Linked DNA regions of Elephas maximus indicus. The protein of the gene in region 1 interacts with the protein of each later gene in a biochemical or structural test. Links are inferred from orthologs where the notes say so. Each region holds a gene or a part of one and is shown in the gene's direction. Other genes may lie near its edges.

Evidence for each region. The genes of interacting proteins can lie anywhere in the genome.
Region 2: the proteins of FCHO2 (region 1) and DAB2 form a complex in vitro, tested with the Homo sapiens proteins (2 studies listed by BioGRID). The link is inferred for Elephas maximus indicus from reciprocal best matches to the Homo sapiens genes FCHO2 and DAB2.

What each region holds. Positions count from the first base shown.
Region 1 is NC_064820.1:76,968,104-76,978,624, forward strand, and holds the start of FCHO2 (F-BAR domain only protein 2), read left to right. Parts: upstream 1-5,638; 5' UTR 5,639-6,204; coding exon 6,205-6,237; intron 6,238-10,521. UniProt on the Homo sapiens protein: Functions in an early step of clathrin-mediated endocytosis. Has both a membrane binding/bending activity and the ability to recruit proteins essential to the formation of functional clathrin-coated pits.
Region 2 is NC_064820.1:45,207,570-45,218,193, reverse strand, and holds the start of DAB2 (disabled homolog 2), read left to right. Parts: upstream 1-6,590; 5' UTR 6,591-7,363; coding exon 7,364-7,444; intron 7,445-10,624. UniProt on the Homo sapiens protein: Adapter protein that functions as a clathrin-associated sorting protein (CLASP) required for clathrin-mediated endocytosis of selected cargo proteins.

The sequences.
Region 1 (10,521 bases):
ATAAAAAGGGACTGGCTTCTGCTACAATGGCCAGATGTCCTGTTTAGTGTGGGACAACCCTAGATTTTGACTAGAATCTGAGTTTTTGAACAATTATATTTCTTACATGTTTCAGGAATTACAGTGAGGAGAGAAAATTTTTTTAAAGGAGCAATATATAATAAATTTCCTTGAAATTTTTATGGAATTCTTGTTAGTTAGCATCCACGCTCATTTAGAGCACCTGGGATAGGCAAAAGATAACCAAGGAACAGACTTCTTTGTGGGAAGAATTGGAAACTGATAAACATTAAACTTACAAGTTAAAAACAAACAAACAAACAAAGAAACCCACAAGTAAAAGCCCAGGGTAGATGAGTCTCTCACCTTGACCAACCTTCTTCTTTTAAAGCGCTTTTTTGCTTGAGGCTTCACTTCCCTTTCTCCGTAACACTTTGTTCATGACTCTATTGTAGTGCTAAATTAATAGTAGTTTACCACTTATTAGTTATGTGACCTTGGATAATTTATTTAACCCCCAAGAGCATATTTTCTCATCTGTAAAACTGGGATAATAATTATTTTATTTTAATCACACATGAGATAATATGTGAAAGGTGCTTTAACATGCTGAACTAAATTACAGATATAATTCTTATTTTTTTTCGAATTAACTGATCAAGACTTATTTACACACTTATGGTCTGTCTTCCCACACTAATTAGGTGCCATGAGGGCAGCAAAATTATCGGTCTTGTTCACCATTGTATCCCCAGTGTCTAGATGAGGACCTAGCTCAATATAGGTATTCAATAAATGTTTGTTAAATACAGATGAATGGGAGTCCCTGCTTCCCTTCAGTCGTCTGAGAACCTCAGGGACTTTGCTTTTTACTAGTATACCGTGTTACTGCTGAAACCTGGTGCTGGTCCATCAGTGACTCAGATCCCTGATCAGGTGTCAGTGGCTCTTTGAGTGAGACCAGGCCCACTCCCTCCGTTCTAAGCTCAGCCAAGAGTGCCTCTTGCTTGGGCTTCTGTGGTTACAATTTCTGGTTGCTCCAGACTCCACTACCCCCTAGACCCTAAAACCACTGCGCTAATAATGAAGGATACCTTCAGTTAATCCAGGGCAATTTCCTTGTGAAAAAAAAAAAAGAAAAAGCATAAATTAATTTTCTTTGAGCTTATCCTTCTGGAAGAAATATTGATTCGTTTTTTTATTTAACAAATATTCATTGGGCACCAACTATGTGCCAGGTACGCTTTCAGGCACACTATTGTTATTATTATCATCATCTCTACCAATCTCCTCATCATTAGCCTATGTTAGATTGTGAATTTCTTAAGAGCTGAGATGGTGTTTTCATTTAAATAAGTACTCAATAAAAGTAATATCTATTGCCTGAATAAATGAAAGAGAGGAAAGAATCAATAAAGACTTTGAAGAATATTAGGCCCAGTTATATTTACATTCAAACAAAAACAAAGAACAACTATTTCTATTTAAGTTGTACAGTGTTATTACATTAAAATAAATTTTTAATTTTTAATATTGCCACAATATCACCACCCTGACACGTACACATTTTTTTTTTTTTTCATTTTCCATGTTTTCTTTTGATTTTTGGCCAATTGCAGGTATACTTTTACACACTTGTAGCTTTAATGTATTTTCCATTTCATTTTCAGGTTTTCCATTTACCATTAATGACACATTTTCACATTAGCATCATTATATTTTTTATTTTATGTACTGTGATTTAGTAATTCCTCTTTTCTTACTTCTGAAACCCCTGTTAGATTCCCTGTGGTCACTAACAGTGTAAATCTCTGAACAATCTGCCAGGTGTTTTTGTACTTCTTCTGAAGACAGCAAGGTAAGGGAGCCCCTGAGAAAGTACATCTCATTCTGGAAAAAGAGGTTATGCCTCAGCAGGAAGCAGGCAGTTGATCATCCTCAGGTCCACTGAAGAGAGAAGAAAGGTACGCATGGCAAACAGTGTGAATTGAAAAGGGTGTGTGGAGGGTGATGTTTAGCTCTGTTCTGCAGTTTGATTAACATGTTTCTACCCCCTCACCCTAGCACAGCAGCCTGCCTGGGCACCATCTGCTAAGCTCTTGCTTTTCTTTCTGTTTTGCACAAAGCTTTTGCTTTCAATATGCTACTATTGAGCATGAGAAAAACAAGAAAATACCAGACTTCAGGGATCTGCCTGTTTCTCTTCTCCCTTATAGAGCTCAGGTCTTTTGCCACTTGTTACTGTCAAGTATGAGTACAGAGGACAACTATATCTGGTGCTGCTCCTTGAAGAAATTAGCAGGAAACAAGAGGGGTTTGTGAGAGCTTCTCCTCTGCCATTCTACTTTTGGAAACAAATGGAAGTACATTTGCAAAATTATATTGAATATAAATGGGAAAATGTGTTTTACTTTATAGCCAACTCTTCTGGAATAGAACTAATTTTAAGTGAAGTTATAAGGAAATGACCCTTGTGACTAAATGTTGATTACTGTGCTGTGGGCTGTGAACCCAGGACTGGAAATGGGAGGAGACTAAAATAAGAAATGAAAAGGGGAAGGTTCTCTGGATTCCTTGCCTAAGAGGTTGGGACCTGTCTTGGAGACAAGCTATATTTTGTAAACCAGGAAATGTAGATTTATTTTGCGTTAATTTCTCCTCTTATTTGTGTTAATTTCTTCTTTTACTTGCTGCCACTTTTATCGAGTTATGTTTTAACAGATCATGTGTGGTATAGGCTATGATGTAATATTTGGGCCAGAGTTCAATGGAAAGCAATAGCACCCCTGGAAACCAACATGTTGGTGGCAGGTGTAACAGAGAGAGACTCTCTGAGGAAGATGAACCTGGAGGTGGAAACAACCAAAAATTGAAGGTCATATTGTTTAGGGGAGCCAAATCTTAAATATTATTTCAATTTTATTACAAAAGGTAGTTTTGTCCTTTTAAGAAGTATGCTCAAGCCTAAAAGAATTCTTCTGAAAATATGTAATGTGAGAAAATAAAACAATGAAAATTTTACAGGCTCTAAGATCTAGAACCAATTAGGGATATGAATAAAAGAAGAATGGAGTTTTTACATATCCAAGGTTTCATCCATGTTGACGTTTCTATGGTAGGCTCAATCACTCATCCGTTCTTTCACTGAACATTCACTGAGTAGTCACACATGTAGTGATAGGTATTATAGGCACTGAGTTAAACACTGTTGTTACCTATGTCAGTTTTAATAATTTTAAAATGTGTTTGGATAAGCAAGGGCTAAGCTTGTGCGGCACAAATATTTTAAGGTATCTGGGTGAGCTACCCCTCAGGGCCTTATCTATACTCTGCCAGAGAGTATATGCATCCCTGGAAACCTCACTTCAGAGGACAGAAGCTGGCTGATACCAACCACATTCTTCTATGCTATACTCTTTCATCTGAAATTTAGTCACCTTAATGACTATTCAGTACAGAGTCCTACAACTTACCTACCAGACTTTAAAGAATATGGGGTTTGGGCTCTAATGAGCCTTACAAATACCTGAAATACACAGAGTATTTATCTTTATGGCAGGCACGCCTCTTTTATGGGACCAGAGATAAGCATGCAAATAGGCATCTCCTGTGAATACTATGCTAAATTGTACTTTTGGAACCACAAATTGAGACCCTATTATTGTTACCTGCCATTGAGTTGGTCCCCAGCTCGAGGTGACCCCAGACACAATGGAATGACATGTTGCCCAGTCTCCCTCATGGAAGCTGAGAATTCTACCATGAACCACTAATGCCTCAAATTGGGACATTCCAAAAAAAAATCAAACCCACTGCTGTCGAGTCCATACCGACTCTTGGTGACCCCAGAAGACAGAGTAGAACTGAGCCTTAGGGTTTCAAGGCTATAAATCTTTACAGAAGCAGACTGCCACGTCTTTCTCCTATGAGGGATCTGGTAGGTTCAACCTCTTAGAACCTTTTGGTTAGCTGCTTAGTGCTTTAACCACTGCACCACCAGGGCTTCTAATTGTGACACTCCAGATTTAGAGAAGGAAAATCTATACTTGACACTACTGGGGAACTATGCTTTGTTATACAAGAATCTATTGCATTCAAGCTGAGAGGATGGATTTGACAAATCAATAAGTCTTCTCTTTACCTAAGCACTTCTGCTGCTCAAATTCTACATGAAGTCCAAAATAATCTATCTCTGTTAGCAGCCATATCCCACAGACTCTCACTGCATTTGGAACCTACCTTTTGTTTTGAGGACATTAGGCAGAGATGTGAAGCTGAGTGTTTCTCTGGGACCTGAATGGTTTGGTCGTGGGAGCGTATTTAGGGTTATGGGTCGTACTGTGCCAGTGTTCAACATCAGATCATGAGTGACAGAGGCACAATATATTTCATTTTTTTAATAAGTGAATGTGTGTATGTGTGTTTGTGATATGTTGGGTTCTTTGAAGCATAGGGCCAATGATAGTGACCTGTCTTGCCTGCACCTAAGGGTGATAGTACTTAAGATATCAGGAATTTAATGGCAAACTCATTTGCAGGGTAATCTAGACAGCTGTTATCTTTTTAGTACGTCTTCCGCATCAAGAAAGATAGCACTAGGTTGATGACTTGGAAAGCGCTGTAGTATATTTCTAAGTTTGACTTTCCCCTAGACTATGTATAAATGGCATTGTTAAAAAGACTTTAAAAATACAGCTTAATGAAAGAAATAGCATTTTCCAATGTAGTCCAAACTTTTAAAAAAGCCTTTATCCTGGTAAATCTCAAATACATACAAAAATGGAGAAACTAATGTAATGAACCACCGTGTTTCCATCACCCAGCTCCAACAATTATCAACTCATGGTCAATCCTGTTTCATCTATATTCCTACTCATCCCCTCTTCCTCAGTAAATTATTTTGAAGCAAATCATAGATGTCTTATCATTACATCCTATATATCCCTAAAAGATACTCTTTAAAAGATATAGCCACAAAACCACTATCACAACCATTCCCAATTCAACACTTACTGGTTTCATCTATGTGAAAGGCACTGCACGGTTTTTACTTTGGAGGATGAAAATAATTTCCCATGAAGAAATAGTTTTATAGTGTTCATTATGTTTAAAGTTACAAGACCTGAGATGCGGTGTGCATGTACATATATAGTATAGCGTACACTAAAGCTATTTGTGGGGCTTGGCTTCAAAGGCTATAGATTCCGAACCTAGCTTTTGATAGAACTAGACTTTCCTACACTTTTGGCAAATGACCTGGTGATAGTGAACGTGAGACCTCAACAAAAGTTTAACTTTTTTTTTTTAGCTTTTGGAAAGCAAGGCGTGGGAAGAGGATTTAGTTTCTCTGTGAGGTCGAGGCATGTTAAAACTTGCTTCTTTTTCCAAAATGTACAAGTTGCTAAGAACCATGGACTCTTACGAACAAGTCCTGAAAGAGTTTTTTTTTTTTTTTAAACTGCATGGGTCAGGGAAATTCATTCCTTTCGGGTCACGTTCCTGCTCTTGGCTGTCTGGGCCGGTTTGCTCCAGGCGTGCTAGAGGTCAGGGACTCGGGCTGCTCTGGATCTCGCGCAGCTCCTGTGGCTCTCAGGCGACACTGGGCGTTTCCTCCTTTTCCGGCCTCGGAAAGTTTTGTTTTGGCTCTTAGTTCCCGGTCAAGGAAAGGCACCCTGTTAACTCGAAGTTTCTCAGCGTCGCCTCAGGTGGCTAGAGGCCAAGTTGCCTCCATTCCAGCTTGCCTAGACTTTGGTCCACTCGGGATCTTTGAAGGCCAGGGGAACTAGCCTTGTGAAGAAGGCGGGCTTCACTGCCGCCAGCCGGCCCCTCCCTAGGTTCGATTCCTGGCCAGTATCGTCACACTGCAGAGGGATCGGGCAGTCTCCCCAGTGACTCCTCAGGGACATGGTTTTCCACCACTCCCAAGAGAATACTCAAATCTAGCCGCGCCCAGGCTGGGGCGAGATGAAAGCGACCAAAACCCGGGAATAGATCCCAGGGCGCATGCGCTCAACGAGGCTGTGTAGTCCAAGTTTTCGCCCGGCGGCAGTAGCCGCTAGGTGGCGCATGCGCCCTGAAGGCTGAGGGCCGGTCACTGAGAAGAAGGCGGCGGCGGCGGCGGCGGCGCCGTGGGGGCCGGGTCCGTGTTTACACAGTGGCGGGCAAGCGGACGGGCGCGGACGCGGAACCCGGCGCGGCGGCACGATGGTCATGGCGCATTTCGTTGAGAATTTTTGGGTAAGAGAAGTATGTTGGAAATTGTGTGGGTTTCGGTGTCGGACACTGGGTGCCTGACGTCGGCCTGTGTATGCGAGGGGCGGTGGCGGCTCCCCCGGCAGGGCGAGCGTCCTTGGACCGCCTTCTTCTGGGTCCCGCCTGGCTGCGGCTCTCCCGGCCGGCTACGGGTCGTCCGGCCTGCTACGGGTCGCCGGGCGACCCGGACGCCTAGGGACGCTGCCGTGCCGGGGACGGGGGCTATCAGCGTGGTTCCACAGCCCGCGGCGAGGACGCCGAGGGGCCGCTGTTCTCCTGGGCTCAGGACAAAGCGCCGGATGGGGCGGGAGACGGGACTCGGCCCCACCGGAGGCTCCCGGCGCCGGGCGCGCTCCGCAAGGGGTGTGCGCGGCGGCTCGGACGCGAAGGACGGGCGGGCGACGCGGCCGCCTCCCGTTGCGCGCAGCCTGGGAGCGCAGGCTAGAGCCGGGTGGAAAGGCGACCAGCTGCCGTCTCGCACCACAGGCCCCCATCTTATCCCCTTTGCCCCCCACCATTTCCACGCGAAATCCCGTGCTGGGTTGGGCTGGATAAGCACTTCCTCTCGGCCTCGCAGCTCAGCTCGTTGGTCTGTGCCCAGTATTTGCCTTTGGGCCTGTTCACAAAGCATATAGAATTTGAATTTAATACAAGTGAACTGGTTGGGCTTAAATGTACTAAGACCTCGCTTTATCCCCTGCGCTCTTTCCCGTTCCTCATTCTTTCCACACCCCTCTTCTTAGTATTATATTCTCTTTTGAGAATGACTTCTCACTTTCCCTGTGGGATGTTTTTCTGCAGTTATTGTTTGTTGTAATGGCAAGTACAGTTCAGGCCATGTACAGGAAAGTAGCTTGTTTACTCACGTATTTTGGCTGAATTTTATTTTTATGTCCTGACAGTTGCAGATACTGCACTTCCATTTTAATTAAGATTTAGAAATATTTAAAGGAGAAATATTTCCGTTAGTAAGGAATGTATCCTAAATTCTTAATTCTAAGTATCTCAAGCATGGACTCGCTTGGTGATCAAATCGATTAATAGTTCTTTGTCTTAAATTTTACTCGTTTTCCAGAAGCAACATAATACTAGACATCTAGGTTGTTTTTTTTTTTTTTTTTACCATACAATAAACTTATTTAAAGTGTACAATGCAGTGGTTTTTAATATGTTCACAGAGGCGTGCAACTATCACCACAATCAATTTTAGAACAATTTTATCACTCTAGAAAGAAACCCCGTACCCATTAGCAGTCATACCCCATTTCTTTTCCCCCCAGGCCTTGGCAACCACTAATCCACTTTGTGTCTGTATAGATTTGCCTATTTTGAACATTTTGTATAAATGGAATCTCATAGTATATGGTAATTTGTGACTGCCTCCTTTCACTTAGCGTGTTTACAAGGTTCATGTTGTAGCATGAATCAGGACTTCATTCCCTTTTATTGCTGAGTAATATTCCATTGTATGTATAAAAAAAATGTATAGACCACATTTTATTTATCCATTATCAGTTTATGGACATTTGGGTTATTTCCAGTTTTTGACTGCTCAGAATAATGCTGTTATGAACATCTGTATGCAAATTTTTTGGGTGGACACGTTTTTATTTCTTTGAGGAACATGTTTTTATTTCTTTGAGGTATATAGCAAAGGAGTGGAACTGCTAGATCATAGGGTAGACTCTAACATTTTGAGAATTGCCAAACTATTCTTGAGAGTGGCTGTGCCATTTTACAAGTCCGCCAGCTATGTCTGAGGGTTCCCGTCTTTTTCATATTAGCTATCGTAGTGGGTGTGAAGAAGTAGTTCATTGTAGTTATGATTTGCAATTCCCTGATAACTAAAGATGTTGAGCATCTTTTCATGTGCTTATTGCCTGTTTATATATCTTCTTTGGAGCAATGTCTGTTCAGATTCATTGCCCGTATTTTAATTGGGTTGTCTTTTTATTATTGCGTTGTAAGGCTTTTAAATATATTCTGGTTACAAGTTTCTTATCAGATATATGGTTTGTAAATGTTTCATCTTATTCTATGGGTTGTCTTTTCACTTTCTTAATGGTGCCTTTTGAAGCAGAAGTGTTTTTGATGAACTCCAATTTATCCCTTTTCTTTGATCAGTTGTGCTTTTGTTAAAAAAAATTATTCCATTGTTGAAAATATGCAAGGAAAACATACACCAGTTTAACACCTTCTACCTGTACAAGTCAGTGACACTGATTACAGTCTTTGAGTTGTGCAGCCATTCTCACCCTCCTTTTCTGAGTTGGTCCTCTCCCTTTAACATAAACTCACTGCCCCCTAAGTTTCCTATCTAATCTTTCGAGTTGTCATTGTCAGTTTGATCCCATATAGATAGATATCACTTATGCTTTTGGTGTCCTATCTAAAACCCTTTGCCTAACCCAAGATTACAAAGATTTACTTCTATGTTTTCTTCTATTTTTATTTTTTTTCTTCTATGTGTTTTATAGTTTTAGCTCTTACGTTTAGGTTTATGATCCACTTGGAGTTAATTTTTGTGTATGGTGCAAGGAAGAGGTATAACTTCATTCTTTTGCATGTGGCTGTCCAGATGTCCCAGCACCATTTTTTTAAAAGACCACCCACCCCCCTTTGAATACTCTTGGTATCATTGTTGGAAATCAATTGATGATAAAAGAGCATTTATTTCTGGACTCTCAATTCTATTCCATTGTCCATCTTTATTACAGTGCCACACTGTTTTGATTATTGTAGCTTTGTAGTAAGTTTTGGAATGGGGAAGTATGCATCTTCCAATTCAGTTCTTCTTTTTCAAAATTGTTCTGGCTATCCAGGGTCCCTTGCATTTCTGTATGAATTTCAGGATCAGTTTGTCAATTTTAGCTATTAGGTTTTATAATTGCAATTTTTAAAAACACTTATCAAGATTGTTTACTACAAGATAATTGACGTTCTTATAAATGCTTTACATTTTTTTTGATTTATGAATGTGTTTTTGAAGTTTGCTAACTTAATTCTTAATTGCATCTTAACATTTTAAAATTGTTTTGTTTTTTGTTAATTGAGCTTTGAGCATAGCTTTGTTTGATGTTTTTGACTATTATAATAATGTTTCTGTGAACATTTTTAAAAATTTTTATTGTACTTTAAGTGAAAGTTTTACAAATCAAGTCAGTCTCTCACACAAAAACCCGTATACACCTTGCTACATACTCCCAATCGCTCTTCTCCTAATGAGACAGCCCGCTCCCTCCCTCCACTTTCTCTTTTCGTGTTCATTTCTCCAGCTTCTAATCCCCTGTACCCACTCATCTCCCCTCCAGGCAGGAGATGACAACATAAACTCAAGTTTCCCCCAGATCCAAGAAGCTCACTCCTCATCAGCATCCCTCTCCATCCCATTGTCCAGTCGAATCCATGTCTGAAGAGTTGGCTTTGGGAATGGTTCCTGTCCTGGGCCAACAGAAGTCTGGGGGCTGTGACCACCGGGGTCCTTCTAGCCTCAGTCAGGCCATTAAGTCTGGTCTTTTTATGAGAATTTGGGGTCCGCATCCCACTGGTCTCCTGCTCCCTCAGGGGTTCTCTGTTGTTTTCCCTGTCAGGGCAGTCATCGGTTGTAGCTGGGCACCATCTAGTTCTTCTGGTCTCAGGCTGATGTAGTTTCTGGTTTATGTGGCCCTTTCTGTCTGTTGGGCTCGTAATTGCCTTGTGTCCTTGGTGTTCTTCATTCTCCTTTGGTCCAGGTGGGTTGATGACCAATTGATGCATCTTAGCTGGCTGCTTGCTGCATTTAAGAGCCCAGATGCCACTCTCCAAAGTGGAATGCAGAATGTTTTCTTAATAGATTTTATTATGCCAATTGACTTAGATGTCCCTTGAAACCATGGTCCCCAAAACCCCGCCCCTGCTACACTGGCCTTCGAAACATTCAGTTTTTTCAGGAAACTGCTTTTGGTTTAATCCAGTTGTGCTGACCTCACCTGTATTGTGTGTTGTCTTTCCCGTCACCTAAAGTAGTTCTTATCTACTATCTAATTAGTGGTTACGCCTCTGCTACCCTACCTCCCTCCCCACTCTCGTAACCATCAAAGAATATTTTCTTCTCTGTTTAAACTATTTCTCGAGTTCTTATAATTGTAGTCTTATACAATATTTGTCCTTCTGCAACTGACTAATTTAACTTCAGCATGACACCTTCCAGGTTCCTCCATGTTACGAAATGTTTCACAGATTTCATCACTGTTTTTTATCAATGCGTAGTAGTCCATTGTGTGAATATAT
Region 2 (10,624 bases), about 32 Mb from region 1:
TAAAATACATCATTTGATTTTTCGACGGCAGCTTCCACGGGTATTGATTGTGGATCCAAGTAAAATGAAATCCTTGACAACTTCAATCTTTTCTCCGTTTATCATGATGTTGCTAATTGGTCCAGTTGTGAAGATTTTTGTTTATGTTGAGGTGTAACCCATACTGAAGGCTGTGGCCCTTGATCTTCATCAGTAAGTGCTTCAGGTCCTCTTTACTTCCAGCTAAGTAGGTTGAATATCTCAGGTTGTTAATGACTCTTTTTCCAATCCTGATGCACAGTTCTTCTTCATATAGTCCAGCTTCTCCGATTATTTGCTCAGCATACAGATTGGATAAGTGTGGTGAAAGGATACAAACCTGACGCATACCTTTCCTGACTTCAAACCATGCATTATCCCCTCATTCTATTGGAAGCACTGCCTCTTGATGTATGTACAGATTCCACATGAGCACAATGAAGTGTTTTGAAATTCCCATCCTTCTCAATGTTAGCCATAATTTCTTATGACCCACACAGTCGAATGCCTTTGCATAGTCAACAAAACACAAGCAAACATTTTTCTGGTATTCTCTGCTTTCAGCCATGACCCATCTGACATCAGCAATGATATACCTTTTACCACGTCCTCTTCTAAATCAACTTGAATTCCTGGCAGTTCCCTTTCAATGTACTATTGTAACGGTTTTTGCATGATCTTCTGCAAAATTTTACTTGCATGTGATATTAATGATATTGTTCAATAATTTCTGCATCCTGTTGGATCTCCTTTCTTGGAGTGTATACAAATATGGATCTCTTCCAGTCAATAACAGCAGATAAGAAATCAAATAACACATCATTAGCAGATCAATGGGTGATAACCTCCAGATGGAGAGCTCTGGTAAAACTGGGTTGAAGCACACTGTACATGAGCCCAGAAAACCCCTATTCTGTCTTCCATGTCAAGTTGTACCCACAACACTGACCTGTCCAGCTCATTTGAGATATGCAAAGTACACATATTATAGCCTTGTTGAGCCATGTCCAGATGGCCCATATTAGCAGAAGAAGCAGGGCAGAGCATAGCCCTAGTGATCCAGTGCCAGCAATGTAAAGCAATTTCAGCAACATGATTTTTGAACCTCTATAATCAGTGGTTAAGCTTTTGATTACTAACCAAAAGGTCAGAAATTCGAATCCACCAGCTACTTCTTGGATAACCCTATGGGGTAGTTATACTCTGTCCTATACGGTCACTATGAGTCAGAATCAACTAGACAGCCATGGACTTTTTTTAATAGTTCCCACAAACCACAATTTCAAGGTCATGTCCTTCCACTCATAGAAGTGAATTAAAGGAGAAAGTTAGATTCCAGTGTTCCTGTTCTGTACAGTTTATGGTAGGTCTAGAGGTCATCCTAGAGAGCTGGGGTGGAATGTGAATTTCTTCCCCCATATAGTAGGCTGGGTGTTAAAGTTGAGATGACTATACTTTTCATGTCAATTAATCCAACTCAAAGCCCCATGCGTCCATCTTTGGAAAAATTCCACCTAGTCAAAAGGGTGCAGGCCTATTCGAACATTATTTACTTTCTGAGAATCTGAGTTAAGTGTAAGGAGGGATTCTAGGATCAATCCTTTGTGCATGTCTTTGTTGCTGCAAGCGTATAACTTGTGCCCAGCTTCACCAAGAGGCTGGATCATACTCTACGAGTAGTTTTTTTTGTTTTTTTGTTTTTTTTTTTAGGAGTATAGTTTTTCTAGCCCTAGTAAACTAAATGTTCAAACTAATAGTTATTGTACTGAAACAAGTGAGTAAAAATATAGTTGCAAAATTGATCATAAACTTAAGAATTCAACTCGTGAGCACTTTTCAGAAACTTGTAGTCAATTGGGTGGCACAGCTCAGACTAGAGAATGGGCCCCCATTTGACCTGCAGTGAGTTCCTTTTGGAAACCCTGGTGGCATACTGGTTAAGTGCTATAGCTGCTAACCAAAAGGTTCGCAGTTCAAATCCATCAGATGCTCCTTGGAAACTCAATGGGTCAGTTCTACTTTGTCCTATAGGGTCACTATGAGTCAGAATCAACTCGACGGCAATGGGTTTGGTTTTCGTTTTGGGGAGCTCCTTTTAAAGCTTGAATTCTCCTAAACACTCTTTCTAATGATGACTGTTCCTTAAGCTGTACTAGATATATTCCTAATAAAAGCTTATTTTAAAAGCAAAGTGGGTGGGGGTGGGTAGAAAATTAGGAGAAGTCATTTACAATGAGTCGAGTGTATTCAAAGTTGGCAACTCAAGAACTCAAACTTCCTACATGGCTTTAGAAGAAAAAAAATATCTAAAAGGCCAAGCACTGAATAGTAGAGAGTGTACTGAAATAAATTTGAATTCTTTGATCTGTGAGTTGCATCTTTGACCTAGCCGAATGCTTTCTTCCAAGGAGCCAAATCAACATTAATGAGTCAGTTTGACCAAGTCTAGCTACTGCTACCAAGATAGAAAAAACTCCAGTGACAATGTATAATTAGACCATATCAAATCCCTCTACTGTTGTAGCTCAGAAACCAAATGAAAAGCTGAATGAAATGCCATGTTCAAAATACTCTGCTAAGCTACCTTCCTGTTCTTTGCTTGGTATATCTATTAAAAAGAAGGCAAGATTGGTTCAGTCTTTATGTAATGCGTTTTGTACAGTCTGCTTAAAAAGAATTTAGAAACAAACTGACACATACAATGTCTAGGAATAGGGAAATAGGGTCCCATGCTATAGGATCTAGATCTTTACTAATACTGGCTCTATCCCCAAGTAGACGAGTCATATACTTTCTTGCCCTCAGTGTCCTAATATTTAAAAGGAAAGGATGAGACCAAATTATTCCCTAGGTTTCTTCCAGCTCAATAGTTTAACACACTTGGTATGTCTTTAAGGGGACAAAAGATTGTTGAAGTAGACCAGTGGTTCTCACACTTGTCTGTACATTGGAGTCACCTGGGAATCCTTAAACTGTATTGATACCTTGGTCTCCTCCAGAGATTCTGATTTAATTTATTTGGAGGACATCTCTATCTTAAAAACTACATCTTAAAAACTCCCCAGGTGATGTGAGGTAGACCTTCTAAACTGTCGATAGTCATGATGCAGGTTTGGGTTTGACTTGGGATCCATTAGGACAGGCCTCTCTGGGTAACTTAGATTTTGTTCCTAAAGTTCTGTTCCCATCAGAACCTATCTTCTGTAGGCTGAGAAGCCAGAGCTGGGCAGGAGGTAGCTCTAACATTAGCAAACCCTCTTACCTTTTCACCTGGAGCTTTCCTAATTAAAGTATTATCCCTATGTGTTTCCACTTCTACTTATTAGTCCTAGCTCTTAAAGTTCTAAATGCGTTTAAACACTTGTGGCTAAAGCTATGTTGGATGCAACACAAGATTCTGGTGTCTCTGAAACCTAACTTCTGTTTAATGAGCACTTTCTGTATGCAGTGCACGGAAGTCTCTACATAAATTCTTACTGATTTCCGTATAATGGCTCTGTCAGCTATATTCCATTGTACAGGTGAGGAAATTCATATCAGATAAGTTGCCTCCAGCCACAGAGCTAAAAGACAGTGCATTCCAGGTGTATGGGATGCCGAAGCCTGAACTCTTAGCCACTTCGCTATACCATGTTGTCTTAGTTTCTTAGTGCTGCTGTAACACAAATACCACAAGTGGTTGGCTTTAAGGAATAGAAATTTATTTTCTCACAGTTTTGGAGGCTAAAAATCCAAATCAGGGTCTCAGCCTTGTCGATTCCATCTTTATAGGTAGTCCCAAGTGTTCCTTGGTTTGTAGACAACCTCATGTTGTCTGTTTTCCCTGTGTCTGATCTATTCTTCATAAACTCAGAAGTGATTAAGTTTAGGATTCACCCTACGCTGCTATGATTGATCACATTACATCAGATTGCATTATGGAAAGTGGTTACATTAGATTACGTCCATCAGTATAGGGGTTAGGATTCCAACATAAATTTTGAGGGGATAGAGTCTAATCCATAACACACCTCTACTCAAAATCTACTGGTTGGGGAACTCCAACTCTGATTTGGCTTGGTTCCAAAGGTGGGGAAAAGCGTCTTGGTTCAGGATTTCATATGCCCTCTGAGTCCTCAGCAATGTTTCCAAGGGCCACAAACAGTGATACGTCCTTGCTGTAAATACGTAACTTGTGTATAGTTCGTTGATCCCAGCATATTCTGCTACTGAGGCCCCTACAGCAGCATCAGCATTTACAGGAAAATCTTCTTAAGGAATCCTTTTCAGGGTGTGTTAACATAGTCTTATTCCCCAGTTAAACAGGCTGCAAAACTCTTACTGTCTGCTCAACTTGGCCCTTCTAAAAGCATAGGCATCCAGCAGTTAAGGGGGGGAGGAAACAGCATAACTTCGCTGCAGCATCTCGGGCAAGGTCCCTTATTCTGAAAAGGCTGCTTTGAAGATAGTGGTGAAGGCTGTTTGCTGGCCTCTTGGCCCCTGAGATTTGCCTTAAAGGTTAATATTTCACATGTTCTAATTCAGCACTTCAGCTGAGGCAGGCATAAGGTTCCAAAGGACAAGGAAACACATACACTGACCAGGACAAAGTACCAGACATTCTAGCAAAGACGTTTATATTGCTTTGTCTTGACTCTCCTTGCTTCTCTTTTCTGTGTCCATTTTGTGTGGCTCTTTCTGAAAAGTTAATTAGTATGTTAAAGTCAGTGGGTTTCTGGCTTTTTGAAAACACCCTATAAAATGCAGATGAAAATCGATGGGATTTTTAACTGTGCTTACCTGTGTTATTCCATCTGATTCACAATGGGTTGCTAAGATTTCTGTAAAACAAAGCAAGACAAGAAAAGAGAGCACATACAGAAGAAAAGGGAATCTAGGCAAGGCTCAGTTTTGAGCTCAGCAACTTATTAGCTATTGATCCTGGTTTGCCCAGCCCATTTCATTATTCATTAAATGGCGGCAATACATCTTTTTTCATAGGGCTGACATGTTTTAAGTACTTGGTATATTAGGTGTTTCCCCCATTCCCCTTAACATTAAAAACAGATTCTATGTCATCTGTGGAATGGTGCTGCCATCAAATAAGTCCTTAACTCAAGTTATTTGTTTTATCCACATTCTGAGACTGACCAAATTCCTGCTCACTCTGTATAATTACGGTAAGAAGGTACACTGGGGTTGGGGGTCAGGGGTGAGTTATAGAAGAGACAGACTTGTATGTGTCATCATATTGCTTCAGAATCCTAGAATGGTTAAGTACCAGCATTGTTGATACCATTACATTCCTGCTGGTGGGAAGGATACGGCAGTATAAAAAAAAGTGCCAGCCCACTCTGTCCCTGCAAAGCCCAGATTGACCAGTGTCCATCATGCTGGCAGTTCCAGAGTTCTAGACATTTTGCATGAATCACTTTAAGTAAGGGACAAACTATAGCTGATTCTTGTTAGTACAAATGGCACAGTCATCCCAAGATGACTCATGTAGTCTTCCAGCCTACATCTCTTGGAGCTTTCTCAGAATCCAGGAAAGATGTTGCAAGCTCTCGAATCTCTCCTAGTCATCTGATTCTAGTGACATGGAAGGAGGAAGTCCCCAGGTTCTTTCAGGGAGGTTTGTATTAAGTCCAAAATCCAAGTTAGATATCTTCACTCAAATGGGACATAATTTTATGGACTTACATTCCATTTACAATTTTCTGTTTAATGTGAGGCCTTAAAAATAAGTCAAGAATATACAATACATTGAGATCCTCATGTTTGCAGTTGTTGCTTCTTATTTCTCTGCTCAAGCTTCTAGTGGAGACAGCCTGTCGCAGAGGACTACAATAACTAACCAAGCTTAGATGGGAAACTGTGAACCTTTGTGCATGTTTTGAGCTCTGGTTTGTAACCCCTGCCTTAATGCCTTGTGTATGTTACTTGACTAATTTTGTGCTCCTTGTTTAGAAAGGCCCCTGGGACTAAACCCAACAAATGAGAAGGCTGTTTGCCACTTGATTTTCCTACATCCACTTGTGCCCTCTTTGCATACTAGAGCTTGAAAGCAGCTCTCATAGTTTAGTGTAACCTAGATACTTCCTTCAACAGCACCTAGTCTGGAAAGGTAATTAAAGGAAATAACTGAGAATTGTTCTGCCCTTAGGATCCCTTTACCAGGACTGATCTCTTTCCAAAAATCAATTCATTCTAAAACCTGCTGAAGCAAATGGGCATGACTGACAATTCTGTAACCATGTTGGAAGGATTGTGCTTTCGAATGTTGGAGTTAAGCTGATTATTCTCAGCAAAGGGAAGCAAATCTGGAAGCAAGCCTTCTATCATCTACCACTTGGACTTTGGAAAAGTCCGTGATGGGGGGGCTCGCTCTTTAAGCCTGAGGAGAAAGGTGAATGTTATCACCCTGGTACATGATATACACACACACAGTTTTGTTAAAGTCTTTCTTTAAGCCTTTCACATTGTTTTGGAAATGGAGTTTATTTTTGAATCTTGGAGTCTATGAGCAGAGCTTACTTTCTGCTTATTTTGGGGATTATAGATACATTTCTGGAAACCCTGGTGGCTTAGTGGCTAAGTGCTACGGCTCCTAACCGAAGGGTTGGCAGTTCGAATCCGCCAGGCACTCCTTGGAAACTCTATGGGGCAGTTCTACTCTGTCCTGTAGGGTTGCTATGAGTCAGAATTGACTCTACGGCAATGGGTTTTGGTTTTTGGTTAGATACATTTCTAATTTGTATGGCCTCTATTGGAGACCTACTATAATAGTTATTGCAATCTAACATGCCGAGCCCTTTTCCCCAGGAATTAATGATAAAGGTACTTTTTCTCCCTTGTCTTTTGTAACTGCCCTATCATCCGAAAACAGACTCTTTGGTTCAGTGAAAGGATATAAACGAAGGATACCAAACACCTTTAAAACAATTCCAATGCTGCAAAAAAAGTTAGACTTAAATGTCCAAAGAGCAAACTTTTTGCTGTAAAACCAAGATCACCCCTCTCGCTTAGAATCCTTCCATTTCGGCCCAGTCCTCCAATAAATACTAGGTAGTTTTTATACCTGGTCTTAAGTAGTGAGATTACTGTGCCTTTTATAACTTTCTTGAATGAACCCATATGCTTCCATTCCCTCCCCCAGGCCTCTCAAAGTACTTGGTCACATTTCTCAAATTCCTTTAAAATATTTCACTTTAGAATCAAAATTGCCAAACTTAATAAGCTTAGTTTTTTCTGGTCAGAAATAATATCTGGTAGGAGAGTGCGATATCAAGTTTCAATGATGAGAAACAATCTCTAATGCCTAGGTTATTTTTTCAGCCAATCCAATCCTGGACCATCTATCTAGCCCATGCCTGCAACCCATGTGTTGTTGAACTTGACATTGCCTAATCAAGACAGATTTGAAGAAATAGCTGCCCAAATACTTCAGGTATTCTCCATAAATAGAAACCATTTTGGAATACTCTTTTGTAGTTCTTGTACTGGATTCAAAGTGGGTATTTTAAACTGTGTAAATATAGCCTTGGAAGCCAAAAGAATATAGTGTAATTTTTTTTCAATTTTTTAAACAGATTTACTTGGGCAAAATTTATACACCATAGAATTTACCTTCTGTAAGTATACATTTTTAGTACTTTTATAAAGTTATGCAGCTATCACCACAATCAAGTTTAAGAATATTTTCATCACCCCCCCAAATCTTTTTTTTTTTGTCATTAATCTCTGACCCTACCCACAGCCCTAGGCAACCACTGATATGTTTTCTATTTCTATAAATTTGCCTTTTCTGGACTTTTCATATAAATGGAATCATACAATATATAGCCTTTATGTCAGGCTCCTTTCATCCAGCATGTTTTTGAGGTTCATCCGTGTTGTAGCAGGTATCAGTAGTCCTTTTTACTGCTGATAATATCCTGTGTGTATGGACGTACCACATTTAGTCTGTATCTCTTCACCAGCTGATGGGCATTTTCGTTGTTTCCAGGTTTTAGCTACTTTGAACGATGCTGCTCTTAAATATTTGCATTCATGTCTTTGTGTGGATTTGGCTTTTCATTTTTTTTGCCTAGGTTCCTAGGAGTGGGATGGCAGGGCTGTGTGGTGAATTTATCAGTTTCGTACTTTATATATACACATAAATATATATATATATATTATTTTTTTGTAAAATATGTATAACAAAAACTAAACCCATTGCTGTCGAGTCAGTTCCAACTCATGGCAACCCCGTATTTACAGAGTTGTATTGCTCCATAGGTTTTTCTTGGCTCAGTCTTCATGGCAGCAAATTGCTGGGTCTTTCTTCTGTGGCACTTCTAGGTAGATTCAAACCACAAACCTTTAGATTAGTAGTCAAGTGCAAACCGTTTATACCACCCCCCCCCCAAAAAAAAACCCATTACCATCTAGTCGATTCCGACTCATAGCAACTCTATAGGACAAAGGAGAACTGCCCCATAGGGGAGCGGCTGGTGGATTTGAACTGTCAACTTTTTGGTTAGCAGCCGAGCTCTTAACCACTGTGCCACCAGGGCTCCCTTATACCACCTGGAGACTTTATATATAACAAAACATTTGCCTTTTGAACCATTTTTAAGTGTACAATTCAGTGATATTAATTACATTCACCTCATTGTGCAGCCATCACTGCTATCCATTTCAAGTCACAACACAATGTAGTTTTTAATAACACATAAATGGATCGATTGCATTTAGGATGTTTTTCAAGAAGAGTTTTCCAGCCTATAAAATCAAAACAGATTAACATTACCATTATTATCAGTTAGAGTCCAGTCAGGAGAGAAACCACATCGGTGATTGAAGTAGATCTTAATGTAAAGAGCTAACTAGGTATAAAGTTGTTATCTAGATAGCTGAGAGGACAAAGAGAACCCTAAGTCATAAAAAAAAAAAAAAAAGTCATAACTGGTAAGCAAACTACAGAAATCACTACCACCCCAACCCTGAAGGGACAAAGAGATTAGAATCATCAAACCTCAGAAGCTAGGAGGTGGGGGCTGCTGCTCCAACCTTTGAGAAGGGACTGCTGCTCAGCTATTGCTGGTGTCCCTGCATTCTGGGGAAGGGCACTGTTGGCCGGAGACCCCGACCTCTGGAGAGAGCACTGGGGAACTGATGCTGGTGTCTCAGAGGGGGACATAATAAGGCTAGTTCAGCAAGTGGTGGAAATGCTGAAGACTGGATTCAGTGGCTGTTATGGAAAGGAACTGTTGCTGCCTGGGTGAAGGAGCACTGCTAGAGTGCCACAGGAGCTGGAGGCCCTGAGAAAGCCCATGTGAAGCAAATCAGAATGTGCAAGTCCCTTCTCCAGCTTGGCAGCCTCCCTCTAGCACCCCCTATTGGCAGAGTCACCATGCAGCCAGCTGGCAAAGCAGAAATGTTGGCAGAGTTCCAGCCATAGCTTCACAAAGCAGGTATAGAAAGGTGATTCTGAAGTTGAGACAACTGGCACGGACCACCCCGTTAGCTACTCAGCATCCACACATACCCTTCTGCACCTGTGAACTTCTCCCCTACAACAAAATAAGTGTTTCCATCCAAAAAAAATTCAACTATCCTTTGTTCAAAGGAAGACTTTCTCACCCTCTTCCCAAACTGAGGAGCTGAAACGTTCCAGTATTCATTGTATCCATCCTGGTGGAAATAGTATCTTTGGGCTGCATTAACCACTCCTCGAGTTTTGCCACAGTCCCATCTGAATAATCTGCTACCCAAAGACTGAATTGTACATTTAGTATCCATACAATATTAAAGAAAAAGGAGAAAAGATAAGAAATAGGTAATGCGTAGAAATGTATGCATCCAACGAGGAAGGAAGGAAGAAAATAGGCATAGCTACAACAGTCCTTGTTACCATTCACGGGAATGACTTGTGTATGCTAACACTGAGAAAGGAGCCTTCTGCCTTACAAGTTTATAGTTCATTAGGTGGACAGACAGGTAAATAGACTCATGAAAGCCATGCAACAGCTATGTGTATTTGGAAGGGAGGAGGTCTTACTTACTGTCTCAGAGACAAATAGATAATTGAGATGGGCAGGTATGGGGAGTGGGGGGAGAAATTAAAACGGAAGACACTTCTAGGAGAAATGAGTACCTACAGGTTGGTGTATGGGAGTGAAAGGAAATAAGGTGCATAAGGAGGAGCAAAATCTTGAAGAGCCTCACATCCAAAGCTGAAATCTAAATAAATTTGTCCTAAATGCAAAGGAGAGCCACTACAGGATTAAGCAGGCAAGTTTCAAACTTTATTCCTAAATTTAGAAAAACTGCATTTAAAAAAAAACCAAATCACAATTCAGCATAGAGAAACCAGAAACCATGGACTGGAGCATCATGGTTTTCGTGAGAGAAAAAAGTAGGGAGAAAAAAATCTCCCAAAAAGGTTGAAAACCAGAGTAATTGTATTTGATCAGGAGACCATCAGCAGTTGAAGCTGACTTTCTCAGACTAGAGTTGGGATGAGCAGTTCTTTGAGGAGAAGGGAATATGAAAAAGACAGAAGCTGAGTGGGTAGGAGGCCACTGGTTGTAGATGTTTAATCCTGAAAGGGTCATGAAATGGTAATCAGAGGTCTACAGGGTCA